Linked DNA regions of Neurospora crassa OR74A. The protein of the gene in region 1 interacts with the protein of each later gene in a pairwise test. Links are inferred from orthologs where the notes say so. Each region holds a gene or a part of one and is shown on either strand. Other genes may lie near its edges.

The links.
Region 2: the proteins of erg-3 (region 1) and NCU02693 interact in binary tests that used the Saccharomyces cerevisiae proteins (3 or more experiments, as listed by UniProt). The link is inferred for Neurospora crassa OR74A from reciprocal best matches to the Saccharomyces cerevisiae genes ERG24 and ERG26.
Region 3: the proteins of erg-3 (region 1) and erg-1 interact in binary tests that used the Saccharomyces cerevisiae proteins (3 or more experiments, as listed by UniProt). The link is inferred for Neurospora crassa OR74A from reciprocal best matches to the Saccharomyces cerevisiae genes ERG24 and ERG2.

What each region holds. Positions count from the first base shown.
Region 1 is NC_026503.1:5,233,216-5,243,191, forward strand, and holds erg-3 (c-14 sterol reductase ERG-3), read right to left. Parts: upstream 5,772-9,976; 5' UTR 5,608-5,771; coding exon 5,531-5,607; intron 5,444-5,530; coding exon 4,048-5,443; 3' UTR 3,871-4,047; downstream 1-3,870. Other genes in the region: NCU08763 (hypothetical protein), read left to right, coding at 1-1,857; NCU10567 (hypothetical protein), read right to left, coding at 2,103-2,921; NCU08761 (vacuolar sorting receptor), read left to right, coding at 6,732-7,691, 7,868-8,020; gh61-5 (endoglucanase II), read left to right, coding at 9,441-9,689, 9,896-9,976. UniProt on the Saccharomyces cerevisiae protein: Delta(14)-sterol reductase; part of the third module of ergosterol biosynthesis pathway that includes the late steps of the pathway. ERG24 reduces the C14=C15 double bond of 4,4-dimethyl-cholesta-8,14,24-trienol to produce 4,4-dimethyl-cholesta-8,24-dienol.
Region 2 is NC_026501.1:3,222,016-3,232,013, forward strand, and holds NCU02693 (C-3 sterol dehydrogenase/C-4 decarboxylase), read right to left. Parts: upstream 4,715-9,998; 5' UTR 4,515-4,714; coding exon 4,032-4,514; intron 3,956-4,031; coding exon 3,320-3,955; 3' UTR 2,892-3,319; downstream 1-2,891. Other genes in the region: NCU02692 (hypothetical protein), read left to right, coding at 1,253-2,785; NCU02694 (hypothetical protein), read left to right, coding at 5,700-7,514; NCU02695 (hypothetical protein), read right to left, coding at 7,999-8,082, 8,215-8,520, 8,640-9,224. UniProt on the Saccharomyces cerevisiae protein: Sterol-4-alpha-carboxylate 3-dehydrogenase; part of the third module of ergosterol biosynthesis pathway that includes the late steps of the pathway.
Region 3 is NC_026505.1:5,016,520-5,026,106, reverse strand, and holds erg-1 (C-8 sterol isomerase erg-1), read right to left. Parts: upstream 5,114-9,587; 5' UTR 4,907-5,113; coding exon 4,474-4,906; intron 4,387-4,473; coding exon 4,049-4,386; 3' UTR 3,799-4,048; intron 3,691-3,798; 3' UTR 3,416-3,690; downstream 1-3,415. Other genes in the region: NCU04155 (exosome component 1), read left to right, coding at 5,652-6,125, 6,200-6,370; NCU04154 (hypothetical protein), read left to right, coding at 7,632-8,780; NCU04153 (pseudouridine synthase), read right to left, coding at 9,175-9,587. UniProt on the Saccharomyces cerevisiae protein: C-8 sterol isomerase; part of the third module of ergosterol biosynthesis pathway that includes the late steps of the pathway. ERG2 catalyzes the reaction which results in unsaturation at C-7 in the B ring of sterols and thus converts fecosterol to episterol.

The DNA.
Region 1 (9,976 bases):
CTCCAACTCCAACAATCCGAGTCCTCCAGAAAGGAAGAGACAAAAGGATTCTGGTCCAACGCCCTCTCCGAAACCGCCTACCTCGCATCGGGCCTCATTTCCCACCCCTTTGAGTCCACCAAGCACTACACCATTCTGCGCCACTCGCCGGCTGTCATCTGGCACCACGGCCCCAAAACGACCGTGACCATCTCTATCTTTTCGAGTCCCAAGTACCCGCTTCCTGCTTTGCCTTCGTTGCCGCCTGCCGCTGGTGTCAGCTCAGATGTAGCCGGGAATGGAAACGGATGGTCGTTGTGGATTCAACAGCGTGGATTTTCGGGAGACAGTGGGATGAAGATCAAGAACTGGTTAGGTGGCAGAGAGGATTGGGTTTGTGTGACGCCTGCTAGTAAGGTTTTGGCTGAGGAGTTGGAGACTGGAAGTGCTGGCAAAACAGGCGGACAAGGATTGTTAGGGCTGGGAGGGGCGACGGAAGAGAGGGGGTGGAAGAGGGATATCAAGCGGACGGAGAAGAAGCTGAAGAAGGAATTTGGCGACAAAAAGGGACATGTGGCACGCTTGACGGCTGTGGTGAGGGTGCCGGAGGGGTGTGAGGATGGGTATTTCCGGGTTCATTTGTGCGTCAACCCAGATGGGTCAGAAAAGGACCACGAGAAAAGGAAGAAGAGTGAGAAAGATCCACAGTCGCTGCTTGAAGAGCAGCGGAAGAAGATGAAGGTGTTGTGCTCGAGCCCAATCTTTAGGTTGGCGAGTACATCCACTGACCCTTCGTCCATCCGCGGCGCCTCTCTGTCGACCATGCCGCTGGAAATGGGCATCTCCCTCACCTCTTTCATTGCATCAGAGATGGTCGCCTCCAAAATTGCGCCGATCAAGGACCCGATCACTAAAATCATCGATCCCTACCGAGCGCATCCCATCGTTGAAGAACTAGGAATCATTGCTACCGAGGAGGTCAAGGCCGCGAGGGAAGAGGCCGAGGCGGAGGAGCAGGAACGGTTGAGGGAGTTATTTGGTGCTATGTGTGTTGTTGGTGCTGGTGGTGCTGCTGCAGGTATGGCGACGAGGAGAGGGCCAGAAGGACGTCAACAAGGGAGCGGAATGCCGGGCGTGGTTGGGCCCGACGAAGGACCGTTGGCGCCGCTGCCAATCCGGTTTGGAGGAAAAGTGGTTCCTGGGACAGGGAGAAGCACAGCGGAAATGGGCATCCCCACAGCCAACCTCAAAGACCTACCAGAGGAAATCAAGCACTACTTCAAAGGCGTGTATTTCGGCTATACTCGCATCATTCCCGGCAAGGGTGGCCCCATGGGTCCCGGAGGCCCAATGGAGGAGGTCTGGTATGAAGCGATCATTTCCTCGGGCCCGGTGCCGTACGCGAGGAAAACAGCCGTCATCGTGGAACAACAGACCACGGTGCACCTCATCACCGATTTCGGCGCGGGCGTAACCTTCTTTGGCAGCAAGGTGGAAGTGTTGGTCATGGGTTTTCTGCATCCAGTGTTGGACTATCGCGAGACTGGCCCGCAGTACCGGCTCGACACCGCCCACCAGGATGTCGTTCTTGCTCTAGCTAGTCTCAACCGGCCGAGATGGACCGCCCAATCCACCCTTCAACGCATGGAAGCCGCCGAAACAAACGCGGATGGGGAGAGGGGCTTGACAGGAGGTTTCAGGAGGACCAAGGTGGTGGAAAAGGGACAGGAAGTCAAAGAAAAGATAATCGAGGCCAAGGATGCGGTGGCGAAGCAGATCGATCGGATACCGGTGCATAAAGTGGGAATTAGAAGGGACGATGGCAAGGCCAGGGATCGGTATTATGGGACGGGAGGGTATTGGATTCCCAGATGTTAAGGAGTTATGGTTTCACTTACGGGCGGGATAACCGAAAAGTTTCTCTAACTGTAATGTATTGCTCTAATGGAGATGAGAGTAGAAGACTAAGTAAGGTGTAGAACAAGGCAAGGACACCTCCCCGGGCTGGCCGCCGGAAAATGATATTTCAAGAGACGGTTGGTCCAACCTATACACGTCAGCCCCAAAGACACCAGACGTGCCCTCACCCCACCAGTGCTGCTGTCATGTTCCATGCCGGATACTCAATGCTGCCCCGGAATTCCCGCCAGAATGTCGTCAAAAGTTGTGGCTCTTTGCCTCCTCCCTGTCGCCCAACGATGTACTCTAGACCCATTCGCATTCCCGCCGTTACTTGCGCCTCCAGTTCCCGGAGTCACGTCGTAGTCTGGATCAGCGTCTTTGCGCTTGCCTGTTAGGAAGCGAGAGATGCGGGAGAGGGTACCTGCTCGCTTCAGCTTCGAGCTTCCGTCTTGTTCTTGTGGTGGCGATGGCCGAGGGTCCCAACTGGGGGTGGAGGCAGCACGGCTTGTGCGAGTCGTGTTGGAGCGGGGGAGGGTTTCTTTTTCCGAGTAGTGGTGGCCGTCACGCTCCTTCTTAGTGGTGTTTCTCCTCCCCAAATCCTTCTCGTCGCCGTATCCGGCATCTGCCTTTTCCCTTCGACTCTCCCTGCGACTGGGCCTCCTATCCGGCTTCTCCCTGATACTAGCAATTCGATCCATGACAGAATCCACCCTCTTCCTCGTGCTATATCCTCGTTTAGGCTTCTCGTCGTCCCGTCGTACCGCGTTATGGTCACCAAATGGATCGTGATCCGGCCCTTCTTCAAGGACATAGCCTGGTTCTGTACCGTTGTTGACCTCTGGGACCTCGACACTAGGTAATGGCGTCGGAGGCTTGACTGGGAAGAGTTTGCCGTAGGTGGCGCCGGGTGCGCCCTCCCATAGGGTCCCATCGGTGTTGTCGCGGTAGGTGTAGACCTGGGTATCCGCGTCGTAGCCTATGCGGGTCATGTTCTCGGGTAGACGGTCGGCGTCTGTGTCGAGCTCTTTCCAGCGGCCCATGGCGACTCGATAGTCTGCTGGGTTGGGTATTCTTCTGTAGTAGGCGATCGGTGAAGAGATCGCAACGCGGTATTGGAGATATACTGGGGGAGGTGGTGGTAATGGCGACGACGTCGATGATGTGGGGAACAATCTAGAATAGGTAGAGCAGTTGTCGGATGACGATACGGATTTTGATGCGGGTGTGGACAGTCGTAGTAGGAGGAAGGTCGCCGTGATGGGTACCAAGTGTGGTTCGAGGCTAGGAAACTTTCTGTTTCGAATCAATTCCCTTTGGAGTTGATGATGTTTGTTGTTGTTGCTCTGACGGATGTTTCCTTTCGGGGTCGTCAGGGTCCTCAGAGTGGATGCGGGAGGAGCTTGGACGCCGTGCGGGTCGGACGATGATGTCACCTTTGTTTGTGTGTTACCCCTGGCCGGCGACTGGTTCGGTTGGAATGGCAACGCCCACGTCAAGGTACCAATTTGCCCAATTTGTTTCAGCTTGGTGATAATGATGGGGTGGGAAGGATGTTCCTAGGAATTCAAGGGTAGAGGGAAGTGTTGGGATCTTTGTAGGAATTGCGCATGAGTGATGGACAGAGGGAAAAATGGGGACGGACAACGCTGGATGGAGACGCACTGGAGACACTGGAGAATCTGGGGAGTCTGGCAAATCTGGACCCCTATCCCATCCTCTAAGCCTCCGTGATCAACGACTTGTGCGCCGCTCATTGGACACGACGCCTGTAACGTCGAAACGGATTGACAACTGACAAGTGTAAACACGAGAAGACCAGCCGCACTGGAGACTCTGGCTCAGCTGTTCACTGCCCCTTACGGACCGACAAAACATCCAGGGGCAGCTGCAGAGGACAGGAGTGCGTAACACGTCACTTCCTTCCGATCCCGCTCGCCATGTCATAAGGTCAAGCGTACCTACTTTCATAGTAGCGACGTGACGGGTGGCTTGGATCCATGAGTACTGTAGTTTCATTATATCCCTATCGGGTCTAGCTGTTGGCTTATTCCGTTACACTATTCCTCACACCATCCACAATTCCTCGCACCAACTGCAGATAACAGAGGAAGCTCCGCCGGGTATCCAAAACCACAACCACATAACCACAGAACATTATCCATCGGGCTAGTAGATGCCAGGGACAATTCTCCACTTGACAAGCTTCTTGTACTTTTCCCAATCGTCACCATACTTCTTGGAGCACTTCTCGTCATCTCTGAGGTCGCGGTGGATCAAGAGAATAGCAAAGTACAAGATGTAAAAGTAAGTGAAAACGATACCCCAGCCTCTCGCCTCGCCCTGGACAACCTCGCGCCCGTCAAGCATGGTAATTGCACCAGGGGCGTTGCTGCCGGCGCTCAAGATCTGGTAGCCAGCAATGCCGGTCGGGAGAGAATAGGGCCAGCTCTGAAGCCAGTCACCGAGATAATTGATGTGGCGAGCGATGCCCCACCATCCCGAGGTAATGAGTCGCGATCCAGTCTTGGTCTGGAGGTAGGTAAGGTGCTTAACACTAGGATCCTCGGGGTTCGTGCGAAAGTTGTTCTTCTGCGAGTTGGACAGGCGGAAGATGCTATAACCAGCAGCCAGGACAGCACCAACAGCAATCAGTCCGAAAGCGCCCAGCTGCTGAGGATGGACGGAAAGGTAGCGAGTCTGAGTCGAGTACATGAAGGGCACCCAAACGACATCTCCGAAACTCAGCATGAACCCGAAGCCGTCGGTAGTGATATCCATCGTAGTCAAGACGGCCGGCTCCATGTAGATTCCGTCAAAGACATAGAAAGCCTGGATGGCAGTGATGAAGAGAATTGAATCGGTGACGTAACCGTAAAGGCGGTATTGCTTGGCGATGAAGGCGCAGTTCAGAATGATCCAGCCCAGAAGACCAGGGCGCATTTCCATGAATTCCTTGATGTCTACTTGGCCGATGAGGGGCAGAGTGATGCGAGGATTGAGCTCGCGACCAATGTAGAAATCGTAGATGAGGGAGCCGGTGACACCGCCTGCTGCTAGCTGGCGCATGTCCTTGTTGCCCGGCTTCACGTCAAAGCTGCGAACGTAGACGAAGATGGCGAGGGCAAAAGCGAAGAGGATATTGGCGCTGATGATCTGGGCAAAGTTGTCGGAAATGAAAGTCCAAACGGGGAACTCGGCGCCCTGAGCGATGGTGCCGGCAGCCAGGATGGCCAAGGTGCACATGGCCGAGTTGAAAGCGTTCAGCTTGTACTTGAGCCGGCCGCCGGTGCTCAACTCGGTTCCCTCGACGTGGTGGCCGGGGAGAAAGCGGTATTGAACGAGCGAGAGAGCGTAGTAGCCCAAAGTCCACAGCGTGGCGGACCACGAGAAGAGGCCGAAGACGCCATTGTCAGGCCAGCCGATTTCGCGCTTGAGCTGGGCGAGGTCGAGAGACTTGGGGTGGAGGAGCGAGGGCGCGGGGCAGCCCGAGATGTCGTTGCAGAAAAGGTTGAAGACGTGGACGAGAATGGGGAGGCCAAAGGTGATGCCAAAGGCGCCGATGCTGTTTGATCGTTGTCAAGCTTGTTAGCGGGGCGTGGTCTGGACACGAACGAGATGGAGTCAGGGGTTCTGTTTTTGGTTGACTTACGGGCCGCCAAACTCGTAGTGCTGCTGGCGCGGCGCAACCGCCTTCTTTGGGGCAGCTTGGTTTTGCTTCCCGGCCATGGTGATGCTGGCTGTGATGCTGTAGACGACAACACGGAGAGCGGGGAGAGGATCAAGCTGCCTTTTTAAAATGTTCAGCTCCCCGATGTTGGTCGTGGGACAACTCAGCCGGCAGCCAACCAGACAACCGGAACAGTGACGGTCCCCGGTTCGGACGAAGAGGAGCCAAAGGACGGGAGCTTCGATGGGCCAATTGGGGGGCCAATTGACTGCTTCAATTAGGTTGCCGGCTGGGAGAGTGGAGCCAATCGACCTGTCGTGCCAGACGGATCTCTGCTTTCCGGCTGGGATCTCCAGTCTTGGCAACCTTCCTTGGCGTCTAAGTACTACTCGCTGTCTATGCTCAAAGTAAGTACTCCTGCTCACTCGATGTCCTCAAGTCGGTACCTTGCTTCCAGATGACCGTATCCGCGTATTGCTGTCTCCTTCGCAACTGGAGATCCTGATCCGGGCTGCTGATTATCCGAGAGGTGAGCAATGGTACGATTCCATAGTTCGAGCCGCTGTCTTGCCTGCCCCTCATGTCCAATCTCTCCTACCTGTTGGAGCAGCAATGTACCTTGGCGAATTCCATCTTGGTGTGGATGTACCCCTGATCTTCCCGGTCCAAGGAATGGGCCAATCATGGGAGACGTTGGATCTTGCTGGCCACTCAAAGACATGGAAGGCAGCCTTTACTTTGCTCGATTCAGTTTTGTTCCAGTGACGACAACAGGCACTCTTTGTTCTGCGCGCCACTTCCAGAACGGAAAGCCATCACCTAACAATTTCCACTACTGTACGACAAACAAAAAAACAACCAATTCTTACCACGAATTGATCTACAACCTCCGTCAACCCCGCGACTCCATCAGCAGCCAAATCGATCCAGACGGGACCTACCTCTACCTACCCACCCAATCCTTGGTCGATCCAAAGTTCTAGTGTAGTGTATACTACCTCTACCACTGCATGCAATAACCCCTCCTGACGCCGCTGCCACGAGTCACAATCATCACCACCACCACCAACCATACCACGAGCGAGCGCCACCGAGCGCCTTGCCCATTTCAGTTCCATCTCTCCCACTTTGTTCCATCACCAGTCCCGATATCGATCCCGATCCCGACCCCAATTCACCAAAAATGCATGCCCCAAGTCCCAGCCGGCTCCTCTCGAGCCTAGTCGCCTTCTGCGCCCTGACCGGTGCTGCCCACGCCTCCGATGACGAATCCTCCTCCGCGTCGCCCTCCCCATCATCAACAGCCACCACAACCTCCACCGTAACACCCTGCGTCGCCACCTCCACCAACGGTGCCTTCTACGACCTCCGCCCCGACATCGCCGTTGTTCCCGAAAAGGGCGTCAAGCTCGCCCGGGGTACGCACACCCAAGACTACCAAGCCCGCGGTTACGATTACGGATACAACATCACGCTCAACATATGCGCCCCTGTGGTGAAGGGCGTCGAGGATGTCGTGGGATTGACGAGCGAGGCATGGGCCAAGGTCGGTGCCTGGTATGAAAAGGGTGGCAAGGTATACAGCCTAGGGCAGGAGTCGGGAGCATTGAAGCCGAGAGGAAGGAAGCTGGTGCTGCAGTATACAGGAGGGTCGCCGTGTGAACCACCAGAGGACGACAAGGACGACAAACGGAAACGAAGCACCGGTGTTCACCAAGGCGCTGCGTACAGCAAATACTCGGACGACGAAGACGAAGATCGTGATGACGACCAGACCGACTCCGACTCCGACAAGCGGAAACACAGCAACGCATCCAAAAAGAAAACCCGCCGCAAGTCCGCAACCATCTCTTTCCTCTGCGACCGCTCCCCAGACACTTCCACCGCTGTCTCCTTCGTCGGCACCGACCCCGACGAATGCTCCTATTTTTTCGAGGTTCGCTCGCAACACGCCTGTGCCGGAGCCGAGCCACATAAACCGGGGTCCGTGGGTCCCGGAGGAGTCTTTGCCATCATCTTCTTCATTGCACTGGCGGTGTACGTCATTGGTGGTGTTTTCTACCAACGCACCGTCGTGAAGCAAAGAGGGTGGAGGCAGTTGCCCAACTATACTCTATGGGCCGGTATCTGGAGCTTTCTCAAGGTAGGACGTGCTGTTTCCTCTTGGCTCGGTTCCTTTGTGCGGGTGCAGGATCGCAAAGAGATGAGCAAGGTGTAGTATGAACGATAAACTGCGAGGGCGTGAACTGGTGAGGGAGCAGAAGCCGGCTGTGGTTGATACTTTCTACGGAGCCGTCATGCTAACTATCGATTGCGCAGGACATCTTCGTCATCCTTACTTCGTCCTGCGCTCGCTTCTTGCCCCTGCGCCGCGGATACCGATCTTTGAACACGTCGTCTCGTGGCCGATACGGTAACAACGACGACGAGAATCGGTTGATCGATCAGCTTGATGAGGAGTGGGACGATTGATTTCAACCTAGGCGCGGTAGTAGAAGTGGGATAGGTATGCTTGTGGCTCGTTTCTTCCATGTTCTTGTCTTTCGGAGTATCTGTTCTATCAATGCTTCTCTTCTGCTCGAGGCTGGTCCTTTCTTGGTCTGGCCGCTTTGTCTATCCACAGCATCATTGGGCCGGTCCGGTGTTTGGTGGTATCGAAAGACCCACGAAGCCTGTGGCACTTGAGGCACAGCGGATAGTTTTTGGTTATAGACTTTTGTATACATTTTTTCTTCCATCGCAGTACTTCGTTCGGTGTACGAAGGGTCAGAGATTCTGCTGCTTTGTCATGATGAACCCCCCCCTTTGCTACAAGGTCTCGTGCCCTGTGATCCGGCTGCTTGTACCGGAGTTGCAGTCTTCGCGCTGGCTTTCTTGCTTTTTATAAGCACAGCGCTAGACGCATCCGGTCATCGATTCCTCCATGCTTCCGGTTGTACTGAAAATGTCGGACCGCAAACCTTGCAATCGCGCTAGCAAGCTGCGGGTAGGGTTTCAGGCAAGTGAAATCCTGTTTCCGTTGCCAGTTTTGTTGACAAAACGTTCGGAACCGGAGGGTTAGTCAGGGGGCGGCGAGGTGGTATTGAAGCGTACCCCGGAACCCAACCCTCGACCGCAACGACAAATCTTCTTCCAACACCAAGCTCCAGTCATACACTCTACAGATCATTTTACAGGATTCTTGACTAGTCAATGGATTTTGCTAACCTCGTTTGACATCTCAAATTCTCATGTCTGACATCTTCTACCGTCGCCGTATGAGTAACCAAAACTCTCGGTTAAATGCCGCCCCTCGATCCTTGGCAGCCGCCCATCGACTACTCCCAAACTGTCAACGGCACACCATCCGCCGTTTCCCGGTTTCCGGGACTGTGGCTTACCATCCCCAGACACATTCCCCCACGGCACTGTCACTCCGTCTTGCCAAATTCGCGATGCCAAGTAGATTAACCACTCCATTCTAGCCCAGTTATGGTCATTCAGTCTACCGATCCTCGTCAGCAGAGACTGAAACAGCGCCGCACCGCGTTCCCGATCAAGTCTCCTTGCACCCCTTTCGTGTGCGATTATGGCACCTCACCTACAACAGGCTCCAGGCGTCACCATGCCCCCCCTGCTTGCCGCTCCGAAGTGGCCGGGGATGGATTCCCGGGGCAAGATCATGGGAATGACAGGACCAGCACTTAATGGGGATGACAGTTGGATTCATGCTCCGGGGTTGGAACCCAATTCAGGGACTGGCTGTGCCGTATCGCCGATCCGGTCCTTGGATCAAGTCCTAACTATCACAGACAGGATAAAAAGCTCAACCACACCCATAGAACGCTCTTTCTCTCTCTCTCTCCAGATCGCTCACGACATCCTCTACGTCTCACTCACGCACCAGCCCAACATGCGGTCCACTCTTGTCACCGGCCTCATCGCCGGCCTACTCTCCCAACAAGCCGCCGCCCACGCCACCTTCCAAGCCCTTTGGGTCGATGGTGCCGATTATGGCTCGCAATGCGCTCGCGTCCCTCCTTCCAACTCCCCCGTCACCGATGTGACTAGCAATGCCATGAGGTGTAACACGGGAACTTCGCCCGTTGCGAAGAAGTGCCCTGTCAAGGCGGGAAGTACGGTCACTGTTGAGATGCACCAGGTATGCTGCCATTCTCCTGCTCTCGTCAACCGCCGGCTTCGCCCCTGACTGCCTTCCATGCGGAGCAGGTTCTCAAGAGTTACCTGCTTTTCCCTCCCTCTCTTCTCTTTCCTCTTCCCTCCGCCACCTCCTTTTTTTTTTTCCATCCCGCCTGTTCATGTTCGCCTCAGTCACACCCTCCCGTACCGACGCTGACCTATAAGCAGCAAGCAAATGACCGCTCCTGTTCCTCTGAAGCCATCGGTGGCGCTCACTACGGTCCCGTCCTCGTGTATATGTCCAAGGTC
Region 2 (9,998 bases), on another chromosome or scaffold:
ATAACTGGCACCAACATCTATATCGATTTTGGCGTCCGTCCAAATTGCTGTTGATGTTGGATAAAGCACCAAATACGACCCTTACCTGCAGTTGTATGGATGGTCGGTCGTTGGCCTTTCGAGTTGAGAGAGGGAGAGAGAGACATACCCCCTACCCACAGGCAAGTGCGGGTGCTAAGGGATGAAGGCTCGGCTGTCAGCCCGATTAGTACGCGCTCAGATATTCCATGCATGACAGACCTGGACTGTTCGTAGTTTGTAGAGGTATGCAGTGGAAGACCGGACTTGAGTTTAACAGAAAGAGGCCTAGCGGCTGGGTAAACGAAAAAGCAAAAGGCGCCCCCCTCCCAAGGCGGCACCGCTACAAAAAGGAAAAACAAAAAGAAAAGAAAAAGGCGAAAGGAAGAAAAAGTGGGAAGAAGAGCTACAGGACGGAAATCGTGTAATGTACAACCGAGCTCTCGGCTGCAGCCTGCGAAGCTTCCATTGCATGTAGTGTATTGTAAATGGAGGCCAACGGTCAACAATGTCTCGTGCGGTTCACCCGTTGCATGCGGTGATACTGTCCGTCGACTACCGGCTGGATCAGATAGTATAGGCAGAACCGTACATAGTAGTTACCTACATAGGTAGACAGGAGTCGTCGGACTCATCATAAGGTAAGTAACTGGAGATTGTTCCCCGAGGAAAACAAACTCATCGCGCCAAGACCTGGACGGAGTCACCTATAGTAGGGACTATACTTACGGGGCAAAAGCGAAGCCTTCCCGAAATGGAAGATTACATAATCAGATAGACTCAACGCAGCATACTTACTGTAGCATCTTCTCCAACAAACCTCCCGACTTCACTGCTCCGTGCGCAGGGATTGGCCACTGTCGCCTATAAACATCACAACGCCCGTCGACAAGGGTGCAGCTGCCTGTTTTGCTGCAATGATGAACGGATGATCCAACTTGAGCCAACCGCTTCATAATAGTTATTACAACAAGGGAACTGAACAGAACTTGCACAACACCCGGCGACTTCCATTCCGGTGTTCTCAGCAAGGACTGAAGTTCCTGGCAGCCGGCAAGGCTACTACTCATTTACACTAGTCGCGCCAGACTGATTGATTGTTGCGGTTGAGCCCCCCGCCGCCCCTCACCCCCCCCCCCCCCCCCCCTTTTTTTTTTCCCGATCTTCTAGCATAAGAAAAGGGGCGGATTCACACACAGACATATCTTTCTGGGCGCAATCGTGCACTCGTCCAATGGGTTTCATGCCGGGCCTCACAATAACCACCCGCGTCTCCCCGGACGCCGGGACCACCAGCCCGATCGGCTCGAGCGGCACTGCCGGGGATGTCGGAGCCCCTGATGCGGAGACCCCACAAAATGCGCCCTCACCGACCCGCCCGCCCGTTAGCCCCATCACCCCGACTCAGGAATCGGCACGGTTGTCCGGTCCCGATGGCCATGGAGATGGTCCAATTCATGAACAAGCACATCGCCATCGTCACCGTCAACAACATACAACTTTTTCATCATCAGCATCAACATCATCACACTCACTGACGCCACCCTTCACAAGCACTAACAATAATGGTAATAACAACAATGACAACAACAACATCCCCAGCTTCGCCCGAGGGCGACCCACATTCACGCACTCACAAGTAGACCAAGTCGGCATTCCTCCGCCGCCACCGCAACCCATAGCCTTCGACGACAACCCGGACGTGCTAGCGCTCAAGAGCGCCATCACCATCTTGCAGCTGCAGCGCCAGCGAGCCACGGCAGACATACAGGCGCTGAACCGAGCCAAAGCTGCTGCACTTTCGGACCCAGGGGCGTTCGTTGCTGACTTGGCGGCGGGGAGGATTGGGATGGATGGTGATCCGTTGCTTAATGGGCCTGGACCTACTGGTGATGGTAGTAGTAACGATGACGACAATGATGACGATGGGGATGACGATGGGGATGACGATGGGGATGACGATGGGGATGAGGATGGGGATGAGGATATGAACTCAGAAGGAGACAGTGTTGATGGCGAAGATGATGGCGATGATGGCGAATATGATGGAGCAGCGGTCCCATCGAGTTCGGGATTACCGCACGACCCAGACGGCGATATATCCATGTCCGGCGCCGGCGCCGGCGCTGGGAATACCTCACCCACATCTACCCATAATTGTAACAGCAACAACAGCAGACGCAATGTACCAAAGAGGAAAGACCGCGTCAGCAAGACAACAACAACAACAACAACAACAAAACCGCCACAGGGCCTCTCCAAAACCTGGCGCTCCCTTCCCAAGCCGCAAACGGTTGTCCGCTGTCCGCCCATCAACTGGGCCCAGTACGCCATCGTAGGCGAGTCGCTTGATAAGCTGCACCGCGAGCAATTGACGGCGCCTACGCTGGGGGTACCTGCGGTTCTTAGTGTCGGGGGAGTATATGAATTCAGAGGGACAGCGGCGGCGGCAGCAGGAGCAGCACCAGGAGGGGGCGTTGTTAGCGTTGGTAATGGAAGTGGTTATGCCATGGGAGATACCACGGCAACAACAGACCGGACCTCTACGCCACCAACGACAACGATGGCGACCACGGCTGGAACAGAAGCGCAGCAGTCACCAGGGGAGACATTGGGACAGGGACAAGGGCAAGGGCAAGGACAAGGACAATTTCCAACACTAGGACGAAATGAACAATCGCAGAGATTGGTTGGTATTGCAGCGCCGTACACGCCTGGAAGAGATAAGATCGAGAGGACGACAGGCAGGAAAGGAGCCAAGCGCTGAACTTGACATTTCCTAAGACATATGAAGGAATTGAAGTGGCCTACGAAGGGGATAGCATGGCGTTAGGGTATCATGGTGTATGGGATTAGCAAGAGAATTAAGTTTAGCGAGCGATCAAGATCGGAATGCTTCTGTTAGTCACTTATGGACCGGTAACAGACCTAATCTAGAAACTACGTACACGCACCGGCATCATACTGTTCAGTCTGGGCTTTGTTGAAGGAGTTTCGTAGCTTCGCGTGACATGTTTAGCATCTGTCCGTGGATCAATATCCAGCTCACCCCTTCATCCGGCCAACATGTCTGAGAGAGGCATGCCTCGTCGTCCGTCATCCAAATGTCGTCATTAGATATTATTATACAGCGGGACAGATAGTACGGCGCGTTCCAGCACGCAAGGCCCGACTTATTTCGCCTCATCAGCGCTTGTCCAATGTTTCATATACAGTTATCATGCCTTCCGTCGATGTTTGCTTCTTTCACCACCACCACCACCACACCCTTTATCCCTTCCACATTCAAGGCCTGCTATACCTATTGCAACTTCTCCCCCTTCTGCTGCTCCAGCGTCCACTTAACCGACCTCTTCACCGCCTCATCCAATGGCACCAGCGGCTTATATCCCAACCGCTTCTTAGCCTTGGAAATATCGTAGTACCTCGTCATGCAGCTATAAATGATGCGCTGCCTATTAAACGTCGGCGGCTTGCGAATGATCCCAAAGAAGACTTCCGACAAAAAGCCCAGCACAATACCAACATCGCGCGGCAAAACCCACACGTGCTCAGTCCCATGGGGAGATCCCGCAGCGTTCCACACAGCCCGGCAGAAATCCCAAAAGTACACGGGCGAGTCGTTGGTAATGATGAAGGCCTCGCCATCGACGCGCTCATGGTCTAGTGGGGCGATCTTGAGCTTGGAGGTTTGGAGGAGGGCGACGGCGGCCAACAAGTGACCGTGCGCTACGTTCTCGACGTAGGTGAAGTCGAAGAGGTTATCGTTGTCGCCGACTTGAACCGAGGTCTTGCCGTTCTGGTACAGTTTGATTAGGTGGTACAGCGTCATGGTGTCGCCTTCGCCCATGATGCCTGAGGGACGGATGGAGCAGGTGAGCAGGGAAGGGGCGGCAGCGGAACGGTTGGCCTGGAGGACCAGTTCTTCGGCGGCGGCCTGGAGGGAGGGGGAGGTTAGTTTTGGGATGCATCACTCTTGGGGGATATGGGAGAGAGGGGAAGTAGGAGGGTACCTTTGTCTCCGAATAGTACTCGCTCTGCTGGGCTCCACGGATGACGGGCCAACGTTCGTCCGCATTGATGAGGTCGGACTTGTTATCACTCATCACACTGGCGGAACTGGTGTAGACGAGGGCGGTAACGCCCGTCTGCTGACACGCCTTGATGATGGCGGCGGTGCCGTCGACGTTGACCTTCTTGAACAGCGCATGAGAGACGCTGTCGTTGGACTGGGCGGCAGGCGACGCGGTGTGGATGACGACCTGGGGCTTGACCTGGTTGAAGATGGTTTCGAGCCTGGCGGGGTCTGTGATGTCGGCCTCGAAGTATTGGACGCCATCCGACTCGGGTCGCCGGTTCCGCGTGCAGCGTAGGTCGATGACGGAAACGGAGCAGATGTAGTCGCGGAGGAGCACGCGGACAACGTGGTGACCGAGGAAGCCACAGCCGCCAATCACCATGACGGAGCCAAGCTCCGGCTTCTTTTCTGAGGCCATCGTGGGATGTATGCGGGGTATCGACAAGGGAAGAGCAATGGATTGGAGCGTTGGGAGAAAGGCAGGAAAGATGGACTGAAGGAGGGTCAATTGGGAAACTGTCTAGTTCTAGAGCAAGGGACGTGGGATCATGGGTAGGATATCTTCGAAGCCGGGGGACAAGGATGCCATTTTGAGCTACAAATTGCAACCTATCAGGGACATGCCACTGTGTCTCTGGCTCCGCGTCTCGGCTCCAAGCACGCCACTTACAGTAATTTCCCCTCAAAGTGCATGCACCTGATAATGCATAAAGCCCTCTAGATGCGTAGAAATTGGCGGCCGCAATTAGTTGGTATGGGAAATCGCATAAGTGCTTGAATGCCCCTGTATGTGAAACGGCCGGCCATTTCGGTGTAATATGCACTATTTGGAACACCTTTTTCAGGGCCTTTTAGGACTTTATAGGCAAGCTAGCACTCTCTGAACCTCTGAAATTTTCATACTAAGGGAGCAAAAAGACTTGGCATGTGCCTGCTAGTGCATATGTGCCTCTAGATGCATATAAACCCCTGGCCCGGATTACATGCACTTTCAGGGGAAATTACTGTACCTAGCTCTTGACAGCCAGTGAGGTACGACACGGCGACACGCCTGTGGAAAACATCGTGACCCCTTTTTAAGAGGCTGGATTTTGGGCGGAACCTACAGAAGGGCAAAATGAAGGACCCCTGTTGTCCATCAAGGTCGACGGGGTGCGGCTCGCAGTGGACCTGAGTGGATGAAGGCGCACAGGGACCCGTGCTCTCCCATCTTCCAAGTTCCAACATCGTGAGACCTTGCCATAAAGGTGGAACCTAGTACTATCGATCCCGCCTGCACATAGAGGTACCCAACTGAATGCGACGGGCACGCGGTTTTCCATTTTTTTTTTGTTGCCAGATCCCGTCGTGCAGCCAGTCAACAATGCGCATTTGCTCCCTTTCGTTGTCCTCCCACAACGGCGTTTCTCTTCACTTCCACCTCGTAAGAATCTGGAACACTTTACTGTCTGTCAGGCAACAGCCTTCCATCCAGCGTCTCACCCTTACCCATAAACCCATGATCCAGCACACTTCCAACTTCTATATCTCGATTGCAACGCAGCCCAGCCCATTCCATGGCACTCGACAACCACAGCTTAAACTGGTGCCCTGACGCAGTGTGATGAACAAAAAATCCGCGACCGAAATCCTCGTCCATATCACAGCTCCTAGCAGATCGAAAGACGATGCCAACTATAGAGCACTCGCCAATGCATATAACAACTTTGAACCCACCACGCGCACATCCGTGTTCAGCAAGACAATATCACCAAATGTCGTAGTTCATCAGGCCGCCGTGCAGCCTCAGCCCGTTGGAAATGGCTCCCTAGGACCCTCCACGCAACCGGATCAGATCCTTCGGTCGTCTGAAGTAGCAGGATTTGTCGAAACACCGGTGTTATCGTGGCGCGATGCCGCGAACAATTTAGCATCGCCCAGCTTGCGGATGAGGCACGATGAGCCTAGCCAATACTCACAGGTTTCATGGCAACCTCCTGCAAGCGTTGTTCAAGATTCACTGCCAGACAATAATGTGACTTTGTCTCAGTTTTGCACACCGACAAGGCTGTTAGAGGACTATCTACATCCTGGTGATTCCAGTCAGTTTCTGTCGCCAGTCATAGAGAGGGCCCCGAGTGGACAGCAACCAACAGCCGCCCGGATCCAGAGTCAGCATGAGGGATACTCGACATTCCCCACCATCAGCCATATCTCGCAGCGGCGACAGGTGGCTAGCGGTGAGCCTCACATAGCGCTCTTACCACCGGATTCTTCTTTACAAGGGAATAGCCAGGAACATGCGGCGGAAGGCGGTACTCAAAGGACCCTCAGTTCACTGATCAATAGGGCCAAGAAACCTCATGTTGCTGCGCCATCAGAAAGGGATTTATCATGTCGTCAACTCGCTAGGCGCATGTCAATCACAGAATATTCTCCCAGACGCCAAACACCAGCAGATCCCCGAGGAAAGTTTATACCTCTCTCGCCAGTGATAAACGCCAACAACAAGCGCCGCCGACCCGTCCAGCATGGGCCGTCTCCCTCCTCCCGAGACAGCGACTTCACGATAGCATCATCACAGCCTGCGGTCCAAGAGCAAGTTCCAGCCACCGACACCATCCTTTGCAAACAAGACTTATCCAAGCAATGCCTATCGTCATCCCGTACCGAATCCGAACCGCCACCAATCAAGTGTCGCCGCACATGTCCCGAGCCAGCGCCAGCACCAGCACCATCATCACGATCAGCTACGCCCGCTTCATTGACGTTTTTGTCCGTCCCCTCATCTTCCGCAAACCCAATCTCAAGCTCCGGAAAGCCCCTCGTCCGCTCTTCCAGTGATATCGGCCCCCGACAAGACGCTATCAAATCCAACCAGATCGCCTCACGAAGCGCCCGCCTCTCGTCGGTCCTCGAGCTCCATTCGCCCTGCCCTCCAACGTCCGATCACGTATTCGATCTCTCATCTTCTTTTTCAAAGGAGAAAGGAGAAGGAGAAGCAGAAAACGATCTCTCATTGATGACCCCCGTCCTCGCCAAGCTCGCCATCGACCTGAAACTCCCCAAACGATTCCAGCCCTCACTCCGGACACGCGCCACGCGCCCTTACGAGCGGGGCTACTGGCTGGTGGACTGCACGTCATGGGGCCGCGAGCTCAAGGAGTCGTGCTGGCTTTTTCTAGCGGACTACCTGGGTAGCGGGGCGGCGGGCTGGGGGGTCTGGTGCACGCGGGATGAAGCGTTCACTCGTTTGAGATTGTATTGCTGGGGCGCGGTGGTTGGTCACCTATACCTTGTCTTGTACATAATTAGCAAGCGGGAGGTGCTGTATACAGGGACGGAATGGGTGGATGGGGACGGGGAGGTGGTCATTAGGATGGAAGCTAGGTCGCGGTCTGTAATGGCCACGGGGGTGGGCACGTTGAGTGCGAGGTAGGGCTCTAGGTTGTTGTGGCAGATTTGAATGGGCGTGGGAAACTGGTCCTGGTTCAAAGTGGACCGAAGCTGGGAGTTGCGGGCTCAGCTGATGAGTTGCGGGCGTTTAACAACCTACAGCCCCTGGTATCAGTGATATTGGGGGGTAACCAAACTTGAATTTGGCCCATGACTACTCTTCGTGTACATGAACTTGAGGCTTTGCGATGCAGTGTACTTCTGGTCCCTTCTTTATTTGGGTTCCTAGTTGGACACCCACATTCGTTCCTTTATTGATCCATAAAGATTATCCGATGATTCGCCTCGCTTCCCCAACAACCTTACAAATACATTTCGGTGCCACTCGAACAACAGAGTGCGACGGAGCATCGGCAACGAGCCGGCTAATTGTGTGACGAACGAAGCTCATGGAGGTCGCTCGGAGCCCATATAAATTCACATGAACCGAACCGGAAAAGGGGCGTCGAGGGGCGTGATAACCACACTCAAGCGGCAGCATGAGCGGCGGCGGCAGCAGCTCTCTCACTGAGGTATCTCTCCTTATCGACTGCAGCGTTGTCGACGTAAGGCTGGGTGAAGCATACGGTTGTTAACACGGTGATCAAGTCAGGCAAGAACGTCGTTGCGAACGGGGCAAGAACCTGTCGCACTACGATGGACAAGAGGGAAATGGATGACGAGGAAGGATTGAAAAGACCTACCTGTTTTGCCGCATCGTCCATGGACTTCCACTCCTCGGACAAAGCCTTCGCTATTTCCGGTAGGGGCTTGCCAGCATAGAGGGCGTCCTTTTGGCGCGACATGCAAAAGAACAAAAAGGCACTCCTTAGGCGCTTTGGGCGCCGGTCATCGGGGATAGGATGGACGACCGAAGTGACACCGAGGCGCTTCAGCGCATGACGGGCATAATTGGCGTCCTCGATCTCCATGGGTGTCTTGGTGAGTACCCACGCTGCCCGCGTAGCCACGCCATCCTGGTGAGCCTTGTCGGCCTTGGCTTGGTAGCGCTGTGTACAGAAAGATCGCAGTCAGCAAAGGAACAGGACGAAGTATGGTACAAACTTGAGAAGTAGCTGAAGGGCGGCAGAGGAACATCACGGGATGGAGCTCCATGGGGCAAACTTACGGCTTTTTCAGCGTCCGACAGCTCCTTCCACTGTGCAGCCAACGTTTTAAAGTACCCTCTCCGCGTCGCGATATCATCGCCTTCTTTCAAGACGTCCTTCATGTGCTCACTGATGTACGCGGACCAAGCAGGAACTCGGTGGGTTTTGGGATCTTCTTTGAACAGCGCCCGCTGCTTCAACAGTCTGATCCTGAGCTTCTTCTTCTGCTCGTCCGTCAGCGGTGCCTTCTTCTTGGGCGCCTTGGGCTTCTTGGGCGCAGCCTCCTTCTTGGCTCTGGGCGTCTTTGCCCTTGCGCCGGCTCCTGTAGCGCCCTCAGCGGCCGACTTCTTGGACTTTGCGGCGGCGGGACGAGTCTTGTTGGTCTTGGTGGCCGTAGCAGCAGTATCGTCCGATTCGGCGGCGGTTTTCTTGGCGCGAGTTAGGGCATAACCGCGCTGCTGAAAGACGACGCCGCTGCGGCGAAGGAAGCTGGGAGCAGCGGAGCGGGTGGTCGAGCTGGTGGACGCAGCCACGGCAGTACGAACGACCAGCGTGGTGCCAGCGCGCAGCTGACGAGCCGTCGCGAGCGCAATCTGCGAGAACATCTTGGACTGTGGCGGCGACAGTGAGGTCGGGGTGGGAAATGGTGGGAGGGAAGAGGGGAGAAGCTGTCGCGGCGCAGGTCAAGCAGGAACGTGTCTTGATGCGGGGCCAATTGCACAAGTTGGAAGTGGAAGGGAAGAGTGAAGCAATAGTGACAGCCGAGAGCCCTGTCCAAGCGGGAAGCTGGAGTGGGTCGGGGAAGATCAGTTTTACGCAGGATGGAGCCCGCACGGCAGACCTGCGGAGGGGAGGGCTCGTGCCCAGGCACTTGTGGATGTCGAGACTTGCAGGCGTAGTGTATGCGTAGTGTATGCGTAGTGTACACTACCTAAGTGGGTACTAGGTGTAGCGGTACGCAAGGGGACAGGTACCGGATGCTGCTTCAGTTACTTACCCTAAGCGTGGTCCGATCTCGTGGGCTTCCAGAAATGGAAAACCCCGTCTCAAGAGGAATGGTACTAGTCATAAGGTACGGACCGTTTTTGTTCGACAGGAGCTGTATTTTGACCTTCGTTCACGCAAAATATGTATTTCTCTGGCTTGAGGTACTTGAAGGTCGTGCCCTCGTCAACGTAGACATACTACGACAAGACAGTAAAGTTACAGGTAATATACGTCACATCCAATACCCAGATCAAGCTCCACAGGTTTGACCTCCATGGCACCAGTGGAGACCCCTACCTCAGCGCGAGCTTCATCCTTAAGAAGAGACACCTCCGCTTAAGCTCAGTCTACTAATAAGTTATACGATACACACAGACGGAGGTCGAAGAGTA
Region 3 (9,587 bases), on another chromosome or scaffold:
GCCGACAACATGTGGACAGTATGAAACCCAAACGGGCAAGAGATGAGGTGTGTAGGTAGTCTTCTCGATGAATCAGATAAACACGATAAGCTGGACCATTTGCTCAGCATCAGCCGCCGAGTGATAAGGAAAATCCATGGCATTGGCAGGCATGACAGGCACACTAGTTCTAAGGGTTTAAATTGTCGATCAACAAGTGTTTATCATGACAGCATCTCGTTGTTTCTTGGGCCTGCATAGGCCTAGACTCCTCACAGGTCATGTGCCTCTGTCTTTGATCCTGGCTTCAGCTTCTTGCCTTGCCAGTTTCCGGTGTCAGGTGGTTTCCTAGTACCTTCCGTCGCTTTGTTGGATTTCAAGTTCCATTTGTTTCCTTCGGAACAATCACCTACCTAATAATCCAAGCATCGGATCCTTTCTGCTCCTCCCCTAGGTATGTGCGCAAAGCTGCCTGGCCAAGACTGGCGCCGAAAAACTTTCCGATGACGTTTGGATGCTGTGTGGACGGCAGGCGGCTCCGGCCTTTCTCATGCAGCTAAGAGGTTGCTCTTACCTTATACCTTCCCCATCCAGTCCCCAAATCCCATTCTCTTTAGTCAAGTTTCTTGGCAACTCCCACACTCTTGCCGCTCGGCTGCCCGTGCGGAAGACGTCTGGCGAGATTACTCGGTCAAGCTTTCAGCGCTCATCGATCCTCAAAACCGCAGTTTACATCTGATGCCTCAACTCTTTGGCGATATTTCCCGTCATTGCGCATAGCATTATGGCATGGAGTCCGTTCCAATGCGACCTGTCATTTATCTGGAATATTCTCTGCCGTTGACTGACGCAATGGAGGGTGGTTCATTATCTACCGGCGTCTCTGTATAACACACTGATACTACCTTCAGTTCTCGGAGGGTCGTCGTCCACGGATGGATTCCTCCAGGAGGCTCAAGTCGTCGTCGTCGTTCCAGCTATGTACCGGTGTCTGCAACAGTGCTTGGCAGTGGCCTCCCTGACAGTACGTACACCCGACAGGCCAAAAGAAAAAAGTCGGATCGTTCAAAAAGGCTCGCAGAAAGGACGGACGCTGGTACGTGTGTAGAGCTGGATGCCTGGTTGGTCTCAAGCGGGCGGCGGATCCCTCTTTTCTCTTACGTACAAACCGGCTCACTAATACCCTTTCGGAGCAGTCCCATGGCACTTGAGTTACCCTCCCACAGGCGTCCTTGTCGTCCACCACCGTCGACATTGGCAACGTTGGATCGGCATTGGCTCCCGATTTCGCTGCCTCGTTCCCCTTGCGAATACCATTTCCGCGGATGTCGCCTATGCAAGGAACCAAAGTTCTCGGCTGACCTTTTTTTATTTGTGTCCAGAGAATTGTCAAGAACCTTGCCTCCGGATTCTGTTTGGCTCTTCGCTGAAACCATACAACACGACAATATTTTGACACTATCGGGAGCCTTGCCGACCGATAGCAACACTGGCACGTGAAGCGGCGAAGCCCATAGCCGTAACGCACCTCGGGGGGACCTTTTTCAGCGCACCGCAGTGCCCTACGAGCCTACGAAACAGGAAGCTTGACAGGTCCCGTTTCTTCCCCGCAATTTCTGTCCCACTGGCGCTCCTGCTGGCGGGTCAAAAGAGCGGGGAAAGAAGGAAAGGAGTTCTGTTTGGTTGCCGTGGCGGTCAAGAAGAAGAAACAAGCAGCGGCGGCGGCACCATGCCGGCGTCAACCCATCCCGCTGGCGTTTCCATCAGCAGCAGCGCACCCTAATGCGGCACGAAAGCACAGGAACATGGCGACACTGGACCTCGCTCCACTGCCGGGTTCCACTGTATGACTTCTAGAACCATAAATTCGGCCTAGTTGTTCGCTCGAGCAGTGTCACGCGGCCCGTTGGAAAATTTGTTCTGATGTGAAAATTTTCACACCATACGTCCTACCTGCAATGCAAGGTGGCCTTGTGGCCTTGGGCAGTCTGGGAGTACGGATTCGTGGAGCGGAGGTGAGTTCGGTGTCCCGGTCATGAGAGATCTTACCCGTCCACCCCTGGAAGTGCCAGGCCGGTCAGCACCAGTGCGAACGGAAGTATGGGCCCACGGGGGCTTCATCCACTTCATCTACTTCGGATGAGGGAAGAAAACGCCTCCAAAGGGGAAACCTGTTATCCCAGAGAGGCTGTCATGCGTGAAAAAAAATGAAGTCCTGATCATGCAAAGGTGATGATTAAAATAACATGTTGCATCTCGGTTGCTGTATGCTCTACTTCGGATGAGGGGTCTAAAACTCCAAAGCCAACCAACCGCACGATATCGAAGTTGAAAGCCACCATTACGAGAAACCGATGATGAGGAAAATGGCGATGACAGGCGGGGACGCAGATGGGTCTGGGTTTCCTGTTGACAATGTCGATCAGCCTTGTTGGCCGGTACCGCTACCCAGGAAGTCATTGATAAACTGCCTGCCGCCCGGTCGAGATAATACTCCTCGCCAAAGGCCTCTCTCTATCTCGCTGTTCGTAATCTCAAAACTTGAGAATAAGGCCTGACGGCTTTACGCACAGTCATAGGCAACTTTTGGTCATGAGGAAATTTTATGTGCCATCCATGACGTCTTTAAATAAAGATGAGATGAACTGTGGCCGAGTGCTGATCCTGAGTCTCCATAGTCAAACTACGACAACTCGGTAGTACTAAGCTGAACGAAGTACAATCTACAGTGACAACATGGCGAAGATAACGTCAGGCGCTTAATAGTATTCTCGCAATTTTATATTCCTGAACGTCTCATGAAAGCCACGTTGAAGGTTTGGAAGACTCTAAGCTGGTCTCAAAGCTGTGTTCAACCTCTGTCCAACACTAAACACAGTCTGGTTATCGACAGAGACCCAGACTGACGATCGTAACTACATCTCTCTTGTCCAGCAACAACACTCCCATCATGAGAGCATCATGGCACGAGCAATGCTGTTAAGTATTACGATATGTTATTTTGGAAAATCCAATATTTCTTTCTTTGAATTAATTACCTCAGTCTCATTCAAAAACAAACCAATACTGAAATCACCCACTCCAATGATATCGTGATCTAGTCACACTCGTGTTCACCCATTTTGCCTTATTTATGTAGCATACCTTCCTTCAGGAGAAGAAGAGATCACAGTGGGCAACATGCCAGACTCTAAAGGCGTTGTCCATGGAAAACGTAACCCTCAGTGCTTGTATGCTTTCCCCAAAAGAAAAGTTGATGAAATTGGAATAAATCGAATCGTCATTTGTTCGTAAAACCATTCATCTTCGTCCAGCTTGTCGTTTCGCCGTCCCGTCTCGCGGCGCAGTGGCGTGGTGATGGACTGGCTACTTTGGCCGAAGTAAAATGAGGATAACAGTAAACCGAGGTATAGCCAGCTGTCATCGTAGGAAGGGGGGAATAGACTACTTGGTGGCATGAAGTCTAGAGCAGGAGATAGGCGTGCTGAGAAATGCCGAGGGAGTGTACACATGGATGTTAGGAATCGTGATGTTTGCGCGACGGCGGTTCAGGGGTTACCTAGTGATGTATAGATATGTAGAAAACATGGGCACGGACATGAGCACTTTGCCGAAGAGAGAAGTGAAGAGAGGAGTGAAGAGAGGAGTGAAGAGAGAAGTGAAGAGAGAAGTGAAGAGAAGAGAAGACAAAGCACCAATACAGAAGTCTGTCTGGAAGCGAGCGGGTCAGCTGTACTAAACCAGAACACAGGTATAATAAAGCCAACCCGTGCATTCTCTACGAAGGTTTGTGACAACTACCTCAGGGCAAGGACTCACCAGCGAATGTGCAAACAGAGGCGACGAACATTTCCAAAAGAGAGTATCTTTGTAGTAATGTTTTGACTACGTTACCGTAGATTGTGAATATAGGTATGGATATATCTTGATCTAACCCAAACTCCGGTCTAGCGTAGACGCCGCTTGTGCCGAGAAGCCTTATCTCTACTCTATATTCTATCCCATGGTTTCCAAAACCTTCGTAAGCAAAACACCCTTCGCGAAGGGGACAGTTCGTAAAGCACAATGCTTAGAACTTGCCCTTGAGCAAGTTGCTAATCATCTCGCGGCCGGTGATGACGGAGGTGCGCCAGAGGGTAGGGAAATCGAGCGTGCTGCTGAGGGTATCGGCATAACCGAAGAACAGCATGGGAGGGATCCAGCCGCGCGCATACTCGAGCGCGAAGCAGCTCTCGGGCATCCTGTACTGCTTGACGGTACCGCGGACGAGGTGGTGAACGGAACCGGGAGGGTAGACCTCAGGCTCGTACTCGCCGGGGACGTAGGCAGTCTGAGTGCCGGTGAGGATGTGGAAGTAGTCGTCGGCGGTGTGGCGGCCGGTGTGACCCTCAGTACCGATGGCAGTGCCTGTTGTGTGGAGTGTGCTGTTAGTGATGGGTCTGAAGAAGCGGGAAGCACAAGCTTGCGAAACGCGTGCTGGAGGATGGGGCTTACCAAAGATAATCAGGTACTCGGTGATGGAGGCGTGGATGATGTACATAGCACCCATGGCACCACCAGCGTTGTTGAACACCCACTCCTCATCGTTGTTGACGTAGGGCGCAACGCCGTTGCGGTCGTTCAGCTCGTCGACAATGTACTTGACAATAGCCTTGGTGTCGTTGCCGTGGGCGCTGATGGCGCGCTTGGACAGATCGTGAAGGTGCTCAGTATCGAAGACGTAGAAGGACTCGAGACGCTGCTCCAGGACGTAGGCGATAGGCGCAACTAGGGCGAACAAGATGGCGAAGAACTTGAGCCAGCCACCGATACTGCAGCGGCAGCGGCAGCTGCAGCGGCAAGACGAACCGGAGGAAGAGCGGCCGGAGCTAGAGCCAGAGCCGGACGGCTTGTTGCCGCCGGAGGAGGACTGCTTCTTGGGAGGCATTGTGACGGTTTGTGATTGACGAGACGGCACAATGTCGAGGAGGAGAAACAGGGGAGAGAGAAGACGGGAATCTTGAATTATAAAGAAGCAAAACAATGGCCACAGAGATTCCACCACCGACAGGGGGGTCCGTCAGCCCAACCTCAACAAACCTACCCACGGCAACCCCTGATTTCCTTGTGGAGGACCCTTGTGGTTGCAACATGCCCGCCCAGGCGGGTGTTGCGACTTCCGACACGTTCGATTTTGAGAGCTTTGACCAATAAGGACGCTCAATTGCGCGGATAGCGTTAAACCGATTTCTTGAAGGAGCCACCGCTACGACCAATTGGAGGCAGACACACCGGCAGGCTGGAGTGCATCCAGAAGCTCCGTAAAGCTCCCCTCGCCGGCAGGGCAGCTCAAGTTGCCCGGCAGCACTGTCGGTGCAAAGCACTCAGCGCGGCACTAACAGCGCTCTTGGCACTGACAGGGGTTTCTATTTTTTCGGTGCCCCTCCGTCATTGAGTCCCGTCCGCGGGCCCGGTCAATCACATTTCAATATTCCATCGAATGGACATTTACCTCCACGTACCAGAAGCTCCAATCTCAGTTGTTATCGCCGCGGGGTCCGTTTTGTCGCATCGTTATCTTTTTTTTGTTTAGTTTCCCTCTGCGCGTCGCACCGCGTCTCATACTATACCACTTTTACCCATTCGCAAACTTTTGTCATCGATAGCTCCATCAACCTAGAACGACCGACACAATGGCGAGCACATCCTCTTCCCCTTCGATGGCCATCCCCGGCCAATTCCTAGGCCCTGTCTCCAAGTTCCAACCCGGTCCTGGAACCCATATCCACGAGTCGAACCTCTACTCTTCGCTGCTCGGCGTCGTCAACATCACACAGCCCGCCAAGGCGCCTGGCCCTGCTAAGCGCTTGAACAAGATCATCAACACCCAGACCACGCCCGCCGAGCTACCGACCATCTCGGTATTGCGTTCAGCGGGTTCGTCAGACAAGCGCGAGGTGCTTCCTGAAGTGGGCAACATCGTGCTATGCCGGGTGATTCGCATCATGCCGCGCCAAGCCGTTGTGGCCATTCTAATTTGCGGCGATACTGTTTTGGAGGCCGAGTGGCAGGGCCTGATCAGAGTGCAGGACGTGAGAGCAACAGAGAAGGACAGGGTAAAGATCTACGACAGCTTCAGGCCTGGAGATATTGTCAGGGCCGAGGTGGTGAGTGCTCTTCTCCTCTCCCTTTCTGCCAGACATGGACTGAACACTTCCGCTAACGTGCTGCCACCCACTAGATTTCTCTTGGTGACCAAGCCAGCTACTACCTGTCGACAGCGCGTAACGAGCTCGGTGTCATCATGGCGACAAGCGAGGCCGGTAACACCATGTACCCCGTCAACTGGAAGGAATACAAGGACCCTGAGACGGGGCTAAGCGAACCCAGAAAGGTTGCGAAGCCCTACTGAAGTCGGCGGATGGAGTTTCGAAATGAGACATGAAAAAGATGCTTGAAAAGCAATGCATAGCGGAGTTACTAGCTTGAGGTACAGCGTGTTATCAAGGCGATACGGGCGTTAATCTGCTCGGAGAGCTCGCCGAGTAGTGAAAGCAGGTGCTCAATCAGTACCCGGTTGGGGACTTGCAAATGCGGCGGCACGTCGAATGTCGAGCTCTCACGGTCCGCCGGTCCATCATCGACACGGTCGGCCACTCGCATCACAAGCAAGCATCCCAGCGACAAATCCAAGCCCAGAGATGTCCTGGCCCCAGAGTTTCCGGCGGATACTCCAGGTACGCCAAGTTAGACCGCGCAGAACATGGTCTTGGGTGATAGGGCTCGCACTCAGAGAAGTATGGAGATGGGTACATGTCACGATTCACTCTTGACACAGCGGAACAACACAGTCATGATACAGCGCCTGTTTCAGGGATAACGAAGACGATGGCGAGTTAGTATGATCTTGTCACGTCGAGGAAAGATATAGTGACGCCAGACACGGCTACGCCTGTCATTGCATCAAGAAACTGGATACCCGTTTAAAATCTGCATAGAAGATACCAATAGCCTTCTTCATACGTACCTTACTATTCCCTTGCATACCTAGGTACATACCTCATCTGTTGTCTGTGCCGTCATCCGCCGCCTGGGCCAAACGTTAACGAGTGCTGTTTCTTTAAGGCGGCTCAAGGGCGGCTTGGCGTCTCGTATACCCCCCACATGGGCCTTGCATCGTGCATGCGGTACCTACATACCGCTGAAGATCATCGGAACGGCGGGGGGGCGTAGAACGGGGGAGGGCGGTAGATTCCCGTACGTCACCGAAACCCTGCGTGCCTAGAGGTACCTAGACACATTCATTCCACCCATTTCTTGTCCTCCCTTTTACAGCTTTGTCATTCTTCAAAAAAGGAGGAGGCAGAGTGGGAGCTCTGGCGGCGTGTTGGTTAGCGATCTCACTCAGCGCCCCCCAGATACACAAAACAAAGTCTAAGACGAAAACAACAAGCTCCCTGCCCCTGTTTCAACGGGAACCAGTCCATCCCCACCGCAACGGCGTCTCCATCTAGTTTTCTTGTTCCTGGCAGGAGTCCACTTCGTTCCCGAGAAGAAAATATCGAGATCAGACGAACCGCTTCAATCCATCATCTTTGATTTTCGTCCAATCCGACAAGACGCGCGAACTCTCCTTGTCGATATCATCTGTCCTAACGGGGCCCTGGTGAGCCATGTCAACCACCGCCACCATGACGATGACCGCCGCCCCCGTCATCGTCGAACCGGTCACCCAAACGTTATCTACCGCTCCTTGCTGCCCACAATGCGGTATCGATCTCGAGGGGACCCAACCCTTCTTGGAGATGCAGGCGGCCGTTCTCGATGCCCACAACAAGATCCAAGAACTTCAAAGCCAAGTGCGCCTGCTCAACGAAAAGGCTTCATCCGCCGTCGATCGTTGGGCCGACTACGAAGACGAGATAGCCCAACTACGAGGGCAACTCAAACAGCAGCAGCAACAACAACAACAACAACAACAACAACAACAACAACAACAACAACAACAACAACAACAACAACAACAACAACAATCCCAGTCCTCCCCAGTTGCGTCCCAAATATCATCACCGCAACAACAGCAACAACACGCCGATGCAGCCCTCGCCACCCCTCCCCAATCCGCAACCCCCTCCACCACTGCAACAGCCAACGCCTCCCCCGCCGCCCCTCGCAGCGTCAGCTCCGTCTCCTCCTTCCTGCCCACCGGCGCCGCCTCCCGTCTCTCCGCCTTCTTGACCTCGCGCAAATCAACGCCCAACCTCAAATCCGCCCAATCTTCTACCGGCCCTGTTCCTCATATGCCAACGCACCAATCCACCCTCTCGCAATCGTTCACTCTAAGCAGCCCCCTTCAACAACCGTTCCAGTCCACCTCCCCGTCCCTTCAGCACCAAAAAGAGATCTCCGACCTCCAGGCAGCCCTATCCCAAGAGAAATCCCTCCACACGGAAACCCGCGCCAAGCTAGCCAAAGCCGAAGCGAAACTAACCGCCACGTCGCGTGAGATTGAGGAGTTATCGGTGACCCTGTTCTCGGAAGCCAACGAGATGGTCGCGTCGGAAAGGAGGGCGAGAGCGAAGCTGGAGGAGCGGGTAAAGACGCTGGAGAAGAGAGACGAGCAGAAGAAGGAGAGGCTGGAAATGCTGGAGGGGGCGGTGAGGAGGATGGAGAGGGTTAGGGACGTTTTGAAGGAGACTTCGCAGGTGATGGAGCGGGGAACACATGGGAGTGAAGAGGGAGAAGAGGATAGTGATTACGAGGGGAGGTTACCGGTGGCGGTGATCAGGAGGCAGAACTCCAGGCTGGATCTGGATGATTGACGGTTGAAAGGAAAAAATAGTAATATCTAATGGTAACCTCCGGTGACATACAGGGAAGAATGTTGGTAATCCTAATATAATGTAATGACGGGGATCAGTGGGTATGTAACTTACTTAGTCTAGATCTTGGTTTTGGGCTGGCATCTGGCGGGGGGAAAAAGGGACACCAGGGGCAGGCAGGCAGGCATCATGATGAAATTGCATGGTCGGCAGGGCTTGGTTCTTTGGATATAGACGGAGTCGGGAAGGAGCACACATGGCAACAGCATTTGCTGGATACCTCTAGCACTCTAAGAGGCATGATAACAGTGACCTCGGAATAATCATAACTGCATTAATTTGGGTATACTTTGCTTTATTTCATTTTCGCTTGCTTTGACAATAATGATTTCTTTTATGCCTTCGCCCCATCCTTCGCAGAAGCGGATTCTTCTACGTTGACCTCATTTGTGGGCTGCTCCGGTGTTGGTGTCGGTGTAGGCTGCTTCTCGGTCTTGTCGTCTTCGGCCTTGATCTCCTCGGCCTTAACCTCCTCAGTCTTGACTTCCTCCTTCTTGACTACCGGCTCGACAGCCTGGGCCTTGCCCGCCTTGTCCTTGTTGTTCCACAGGTCCAAAGCCTTCTGGATCTTGGGTGCCCAGACTTCCTCACCCAGGGCAAGGTCGGAGTACTCCATGCAGTTGTCCGTGCCCAGGACAAACTCGCCTTGCCTGGATCTAACCAGTTCAGCCATCATAGCGCCGCACCCAAGCTTTTCCCCCAAGTCGTGGCACAGGCTGCGGACGTAGAAGCCCGAAGTCACGGTCA